Linked DNA regions of Cricetulus griseus. Each later gene encodes a partner of the first gene's protein in a complex. Links are inferred from orthologs where the notes say so. Each region holds a gene or a part of one and is shown on either strand. Other genes may lie near its edges.

What was found. Proteins that work in one complex are often made in the same cells at the same time.
Region 2: Anp32a (region 1) and nucleoside diphosphate kinase A share a complex: the UniProt entries of both Homo sapiens proteins name them as parts of the SET complex. The link is inferred for Cricetulus griseus from reciprocal best matches to the Homo sapiens genes ANP32A and NME1.

What each region holds. Positions count from the first base shown.
Region 1 is NC_048597.1:173,857,927-173,862,280, forward strand, and holds the start of Anp32a (acidic leucine-rich nuclear phosphoprotein 32 family member A), read left to right. Parts: upstream 1-1,500; 5' UTR 1,501-1,524; coding exon 1,525-1,578; intron 1,579-1,806; coding exon of another isoform or gene 1,807-2,003; intron 2,004-2,121; coding exon of another isoform or gene 2,122-2,254; intron 2,255-2,872; exon of another isoform or gene 2,873-3,967; intron 3,968-3,978; coding exon of another isoform or gene 3,979-4,267; exon of another isoform or gene 4,268-4,354. Other genes in the region: uncharacterized protein LOC113835543, read right to left, coding at 1,469-1,500, 1,807-2,003, 2,122-2,254, 3,979-4,267. UniProt on the Homo sapiens protein: Multifunctional protein that is involved in the regulation of many processes including tumor suppression, apoptosis, cell cycle progression or transcription. Promotes apoptosis by favouring the activation of caspase-9/CASP9 and allowing apoptosome formation.
Region 2 is NC_048600.1:106,872,396-106,875,957, forward strand, and holds part of nucleoside diphosphate kinase A, read right to left. Parts: intron 1,872-3,562; coding exon 1,759-1,871; intron 1-1,758. UniProt on the Homo sapiens protein: Major role in the synthesis of nucleoside triphosphates other than ATP. The ATP gamma phosphate is transferred to the NDP beta phosphate via a ping-pong mechanism, using a phosphorylated active-site intermediate.

The DNA of each region.
Region 1 (4,354 bases):
TTTTAAAAAGGAACCAATACAATTGAAAAATTCCAGTTACACGGCCTTCATAAAAATTAACAAAATCTAAGGATATGTTAAATGGACAACTTAAAGAAATTATGCCATATTCACCCAGATGTCATGTTTTTATTTTGTACTTCCAGTTACTTAGAATAAACATTTATCGGCTTCCAAGTTCAACTATTATTTGATCTAAAAGAATTTACTGAATAAAATGCTCAGTTCCAATGTATGCGAAAAAGATAAAACTACCTTGGGGTGTTTACGATAGAGGAAGAAGAAACAAGAGAAAAGGATACTATGATAGTTGTGTGGATGAAGTTAAACATGAGTCCCTGTTGACAGTCATCCCCGTGATTTGTCCACAGCCACAGATATCCACGCTGTACATGAGGTCCCAGGGTGGCTCATAAGAAGCTGATAACCCAGTGGGAACCGGGGCTTTTAAGGTCTATTAAAAACGTAACTTGCTCGAACAAAAACAAAACCCAAAGCAACCGAAACACCTGGATAAATGCTACAGTTAGCGACTCCTTGGCAACTCAGATCTAACCAAACGACTGGTGGACGATGAGAAAGAAATCGTGCGACGCTCTCAACAAAACCTATAAAACCCGTAAATTATGTTCGGCTCTGCGAATCGGCAGTTACTAGCACCTTTCGCATTTCCTAATATTGTATACAGCTCTGCATCCGCAGCCTTTTCATTCATTTATTGCCCTACACAAGATCTCCAGTGGCTCTCGGGGAATCGCCTCTTGTAAGGCTGCCCTGGCAGGAGATCAGAATGCCAAGCTTCTGGGTCGAGATCCCGCCCTCGCTCCTCAGACGGTAGGAACATCATGCGCTTAGACTTGCTTATTTAATTGCGGGATGGGAGAAGATCTAGTCCGAAGGGATGCGTCGAGCAGGCAGCCCGGGGTGTGATCTGTCCTTCGTGCGCCCCCAGAACGCACGCCCTCCCTAGGCCTGCCCTGCGCCCGCGCGCCCCAGGCCTCGTCTGCCCGCTAAGCACCCAGAGGATGCCCCCGTGAGGACCCCGCCCCTCCCGCGTCCACGCACCTGCGGCCCCGCCCCGGCCACGAACCTTCAGGTCCACGCACCTGCCCTGCCTTCCCTCCCGCCCCCCGCGCGCAGCCACCAAAGCGGCAGCCGCGCTCCTCCTCGGTCGCCCGGGTATCTAAAGGGGTCCGTCTCCGGCACCACAGCCAAATGGCTGAGCCTCCCTGGCCCGCTGCGCAGGCCGCCCATTGGACCCTGCCCCCCGCCGCCGCCACCACTATTGGCTGGCATCAGAAGCCTCGCCACTCGATTGGTTCGTGCTGCCGCCACTCCACGCCGGAGCCGTAGGTTCCGCCTCCACGGCGATCAGGTTAGTGTGCGCCGCGGGTGCTGGGGGCTCGAGAACCGAGCGGAGCTGGTTGAGCCTTCAAAGTCCTAAAACGCGCGGCCGTGGGTTCGGGGTTTATTGATTGAATTCCGCTGGCGCAGGATCCTCTGCAGAGAGAGAGAGCGCGAGAGATGGATATGGACAAACGGATTCATTTAGAGCTGCGGAACAGGACGCCCTCTGATGTGAGCATTTGCCAAAAATATCTCTGTCGGTCCATTCTCCTACTTTGTGTTATGTGTGCGTGTGTTTTGGGGGGGAAGGCACTTTTTTATGGAGGTGGGCTCCGAGGAGGTGTAGGGTTTAGGGTTGGACTGCAAATGAATTGCAAGGTTGGATGGGGGGGGGGTTGCAATGCCATCGGAGCATGTTCTGGCCACCGCTGCCGCTGCCCTTGGTGTGTGACTGACTACCTGTGCGTGTGCTCCCGCGTGTGCGGGTATGGGTGCGAGGGTGTGCGTACGAATGTGCACCCAGCGGGGGGCCGGCGGGGCGCACGCGTTCGGGTCGGAGGGAACGCTGCGATCTCACCCTCGTCCGAGCTCTCAGCTCCCACGACTCGCGTCTGGATGGAAAAGATGATTGAGGGGAGGAGAAGATGGGCTGCCTCCTGGATTAAACAACAAAAAGGGGGTGTTATATTTTAGAAACGTACCCCCCTTTCCGCCCCCTCTCGCGCCTGCCCCCTCCCTTTGCCGTCTCTTTCGCTCGCTGGTTCTCTCGCACACAATAAGTTTTGGGAATCGCGAGTCCGGTTTAGTTTCTGATCAATGTGGCCCGAGGCCCCCGGGGACAGCGCGTGGGGACCCGGCTGCTGCGGAGTTGGGAGATGGCTCGAGTTTAAAGCGCGTCTTCGTTTCTCTGCGGGGATGAGGCGAGAGGTGGGGAGCCATATTTGTAACTTTGTCGTGTTCGTGAACGCGCCCTTTCTCTCCCTCCCTCTCTTTCTCTGCCTGCCTTCCTTCTTCTCCTTTCTCTCTCACTCTTTCCACCCCACCTTTGGGCCAGATGCTGTCTTTTCTCCCTTCTTCTTCGCGGAAAGGGGGGGGGTTACCTTAGAAGGAGGGGGAGGGATTGTGGAGTGTGCAAATGCTCAGATAATCCTCACGCCTCCCCAACCACGAGCGATCGCTAGTGTAAGTTGCCCAAAGGCTGCGTCCCGGTGAGCCTCTGGCCCCCGGCTACCTCCCCAGATGCAAGCCTTGGCACCCTGATACCCCAACGGCACCAGTTACCCCACCTCCGGGTCCCTGCTTCTCCCGGGGTGGGCTCCCTGGCAGCCATTCGGCGCCTGATTAATAAATGGGCACGGGAAACTTTATCAGGACCCGAGGTGCCCAGAGCTGGTGCTGCTTTGGGGACCGGCCGGGTCTACATTCTTGCGGGCACGGCTGGCACGCAGCTCTGGAATGGGCAGTTCGTCTGGCCGTAGCCGTTATGGATTGGGTAGCGGCGGGAGTATGGCAGGAGGAAACTTACACCGGTGGGAATAGGCAGGCTGGGCGCTAGCCCACTGCAATGGGAAGTGAGGGTGGGTGGGTGACTCGAACGCTACTGTTTATTTTTGTCTCCCTCTCGCTTTCACACACTCGTGTTGTCTGCGAGTTGGTCCATCCGAGAGACCCTAAGCTCTGGGGTGGAAACCCCGGCCGGCTTCCCTTCAAGGTCCGGTCGTGAGGAGAAGGGGCTCGCGGGCGGGAAGATCCTCTAGGTCCAGCCTGGGTGTTCGGGGTTCGGGCGAGTTGGGGGGCTCGCGCAGCACGTTGCACTGACCCTGTCGCCCCGCCAGCCACTTGGCCCCTCGAATCCTGACAAAGGCAGGCCTCGTTTCCTCTTTTCCCCTAGTTCCTCCCTCCAAACCTGAGTAAGACTTTTGAAAACAAGCTCCTTTCTGCCGTCCGCCCATCCTCACGCAGTTGTGCACTGGAGACGTGCTACAGCCTTATGGCGCGCAGGGCGGAGAGGAGGGGGCGCCGCCGGCAGCAAGTCCTGCCGCGGGGCACGGCCGGTGGCGTCCCGACCCAGCCCCGGTGCCCGATCCCGGAGGTGGAGGGGGCTGGGTGTGGTGCTGGGGGAGGGGGCCGAAGGCGGGCTTCCCGCGTACTTTCCGGAAGACCCCTGTATGTAGTTGGGGGGCTTCGGGGTCTCGGCGAGTAAGTGCGCATAAGCGCCGGGCCGGGCCGGGCCGAGAGACCCACAGTACTAGCCAACCCGGAGCGAATCAGAAAGCGGGTCGAACCGGCTCTTTAAACTTCCCCGAGTGTGTGCACTGGGGGAGGGGCGGGCGCTCCGGGCTGGGCGCGATTTCTCACGCTTCGCCCCCTCGCCTCGAGTCCCCGGCCCACTCGCCGGCCCCGGGGCTCCTGGCGGGGTGGGGCGCGCGGGTGGCGGGGGAGGGGGCACTTGCTGCACATGGGGGAGGGGAGGGCAGAAAGCTCTCGAAAGAGGGACAAAAGGGGTGGGGGAGGAGGAACTGGCTTTTTTTGTTGTTGTTTTTCTGGTTTTTTGTTTTTTCAAATAAACGTTTTTGGAAAGCAGATCGTTCCGGGGAACCTCCCTCCCCAGAGTATCCCCCACGCACCCACCTTCTGCTACCTCTCTCCCAAGTCGCATCTCGGGGACTGGTGGCCGCGACGCCGCTGAACTAGGACGAGCAGCCATGTTTCCCGGGGCGCCGGCGGCCCGCCCCTCCCCCACGGCGGCCGCGGACCCGACTCGGCGGGGACCCGGGTGCCCCAGCGGAGGGGATCCGGGCGCGCACAGGCGCAGCAGAAGCCCGGCGGCGCCGGCCTGGGGATCGGGTCTGAAGAGAGCGCGGCGGGCCAGGGGCCCTCGACCTGCTCGGACCTGCAGACCCCTGTCTGTCCTCGCCATTTGCACTGCTAGGCCGGCGGGAGACCCAGCCCCAGGGTGCCTGGCATTCTCGGGGTACAGAGACGGCCGGCCCCGGCTCTATGCCGG
Region 2 (3,562 bases), on another chromosome or scaffold:
ATGAAGACAAGCAAACACAGGGGACCCTCCAAGTCAGCCTCCACCTTCAGAGGCAGAAGACAAAACTCCCATTTAAAAGTGACCTGAGCCAAGAAGTGATGGCTCACACATTTAATCCCAGCACTCAGGAAGCAGAGGCAGGAGAATCTCTGAGTTCAAGGCCAGCCTGGTCTATAGATCAAGTTCCAAGACAGCCAGGGCTACACAGAGAAACCCTGTCTCAAAAAAAAAAAAAAAAAGAAAGAAAGAAAGAAAGAAAGAAAGAAAGAAAGAAAGAAAGAAAGGAAGGAAGGAAGGAAGGAAGGGGAGGAGGGGAGGAGAGGAAGAGACAGAAAGAAAAAAGAAAAAGGAAAGAGAAAGGAAGAAAGGGAGGGAGGGAGGGAGGAAAGGAGGGAGGGAAAGAGAAAGAAAAAAGAAAAAGAAAGGAAAGAGAAAGAAAGAAAGAAAGAAAGAAAGAAAGAAAGAAAGAAAGAAAGAGAGAGAGAGAGAGGGGGAGGGAGGGAAAGAGGAAGAAAAGGAAGGAAGGAAGGATGGAAGGAAGGAAGGAAGGAAGGAAGGGAGAAAGGAAGGAAGGAAAGAAGGAAGGAAGGAAGGAGGGAGAAAGAAAAGACTATCAGGAATTCAAGGATAGCAATTTTGAGGCCAGCTAGCATACTTAAGACATTGTCTCAAAAGCAGCTAAACTTGCCTGGTGGTAGTGGCGGCAGCACATGCTTTTATTTAATCCCAGCACTTGGGAGGCAGAAGCAGACAGAACTCTGTGAGTTCAAGGCCAACAGCTAGTTCCAGGACAGCCAAGGCTACACAGAGAAATCCTATCTCAAACTATCAAAGGCAACCAAACAAACAAAACAACTAAAATAGGGGCAGAGGAGATGCCTTTAAGAGCACTGGCTAGTCCTCCAGAGAATCTGGGTTTAGTTCCCACCATCCACATGAGGCTCACAACTATCTGTAACTCCATTTCTGGGGGATCCAATGCCTTGTTCTAGCCTCCTTGGGCACCAAGAAATATACAGACAAAAAAAACTGTCCATATACATGAAGAACAAGTAAAAAATAAAATAAGCTTTAAGGCTAAAATAGGGCTGGAGAGATGGCTCAGAGGTTTAAGAGCACTGGCTGCTCTTCCAGAGGTCCTGAGTTCAGTTCCCAGCAACCACATGGTGGCTCACAACCAACTGTAATGAGATCTGGTGCCCTTTTCTGGTGTGCAGACATACATGCGGGCAGAACACTGCGTACATAATAAATAAATAAATCTTTAAAAGCTAAAATAAAATAAATAGGGGGCTAGAAAGATGACTCGGTGATTAAAAGCACTGACTGATCTTCCAGGGGTCCTGAGTTCAACTCCCAGCAATCACATAGTGGCTTACAACCACTATGAGGCTGGGTGCCCTCTTCTGGCCTGCAGGCATACATGTAGGCAAAACACTATATACATAATAAATAAATAATCTTGCTGGGCATTGGTGGCGCACGCCTTTAATCCCAGCACTTGGGAGGCAGAGGCAGGTGGATCTCTGTGAGATCGAGGCCAGCCTGGTCTCCAGAGTGAGTGCCATGATAGGCTCCAAAGCTACAAAGAGAAACCCTGTCTCGAAAAAACCTAAATAAATAAATAAATAAATAATCTTTAAAATAAAAATAAATTGACCTGCAGATGCTATCATGTCCATTTCTAGCCTCAGAGGCCCAAATTCTTGTAGCAACTAACTTGGATTTTGGAAAAAAGTGAAAAACACCAATTCTTACCTGCCAACTTGGATGCAAAAGTCTCCTCGAATGGTCCCAGGTTTAGAGTCTGCAGGGTTGGTCTCTCCAAGCATCACCCGGCCTGTCTTCACAACATTCAACCCCTCCCAGACCTCCAAAGGACAAGAGAAGACACAGTCAAGGAAGAAAAACTTAGTAGAAAACCTGGCATCTAGTGATTCTAAACAAAAGAAAAAGGCTCCAGAATTGGGTCCTCTCATTCACTAGATTAAACAGAATGCCTACTTGTTCCAGGACTAGGGATTCTGGTCACCCTGCCCCTACTCTTATCCTTCCCAGATTCATTCATGTGATAGCCAGTGGCCTTTTGAAATGCTAAATATTGCCATTGAGGTAATCCCACCACTCCAGAGGTAGAGGCAGGTGGATCTCTGTAAAGCCAGCCTGGTCCACATAAGAGAGTCCCAGGAAAGACCCTATTTTGGAGACCCCAAGATGTTGGAGATGCCAGAGTCATGGGATACCTGCCAAGAAAAGCTGCATAAGGGGTGTGGAACCAGCTCAGGAGCTAAAAGTATATGGCAGTCAATAAAACTGAAAGGAGTGGGAGATCTGAAGAGTTCTTTGACATGAGACATGGACATACAGAGTTTGGAGTTTGCCCTGCCAGTTTTAGGTCTTGGTTTGGTCCAGACTATCTCTTCACTGTGCTCCCTTTTGGAATGGTAATATATATTTTGTGTCATTGTATGTTGGAAGTTGGTTATTTGCTTTTTTATTTTGATTATACAGGGGGTTACAATTAGAGAATGTCATGAGTCTCAAGAGAAACTGAACTTTTAAATAGTGCTGATACTATGATAGACTATGGAGACATCTGAAGTTGGACTCAATGCATTTTTGCATTGTGATATGGCTATAAACCTAAGGGGGCCAGGAAATGGAATGTGGTAGTTTTAATAATGGCTCCCATGGGCTTATATATTTAAATGCTTAGTCATCAGGGGGTAGCACTACTTAAAAAGGATTAGGAGGTGTGGCCTTGTTGGAGGAAGTGTGTCTTGAGGTTTCTTTTTCCTTTTTTTTTTTTTAAATTATTTTCACCTCTGAAATTGTTTCTTCTTTGTTTTGCTTTTTCTCTCCTTATTTATTTATTTATTTATTTATTTATTTATTTTTAGAGTTATTTATTACATATACAGTGCTCTGCCTGCATGCCAGAAGAGGGCACCGGATCTCATTACAGATGGCTGTGAACTACCATGTGGTTGCTGGGAACTGTGCTCAGGACCTCTAAAATATCAGGCAGTGCTCTTAACCTCTGAGGTTTCAAAGGTCCAAGCCAAACCCAATGGTTCCCTCTTTCTAATGCCTTCAGATCCAGATGTGGAACTCTCAGCTACTTCTCCAGCACCATGTTTGCCTGTGCACAGCCATGCTCCCTGTCGTGATGATGATAGACTAAACCACTGAAACTATGAGCAAGCCCCTAATTAACTGCTTTCTTTTATAAGAGTTGCAGGGGTCATGGTGTCTCTTCACAGCTAAAGAACAGGCAGACCCTGTCTCAAAAAGTCAAAATAAATAAAATGCTAAATATGGTACTTGCCATAATTTCTCAGCACTGGTGATTTAACAGCACAGCCCTGACATTATCATTATGTAGTCCCTGAACACTTCTCATCCTATCTTGCTTCTTACCACCACCCATCCTACCCTTCTTCTTGTACTTTAAAAAGCAAAGTTGTGTCTGGTATGGTGACGCAGGCCTATAATCCAAATACCCTGTAAGTAGGAGAATCAAAAGCTCCAAGCCAGCCTGAACTATTTGAGGCTAGCCTGA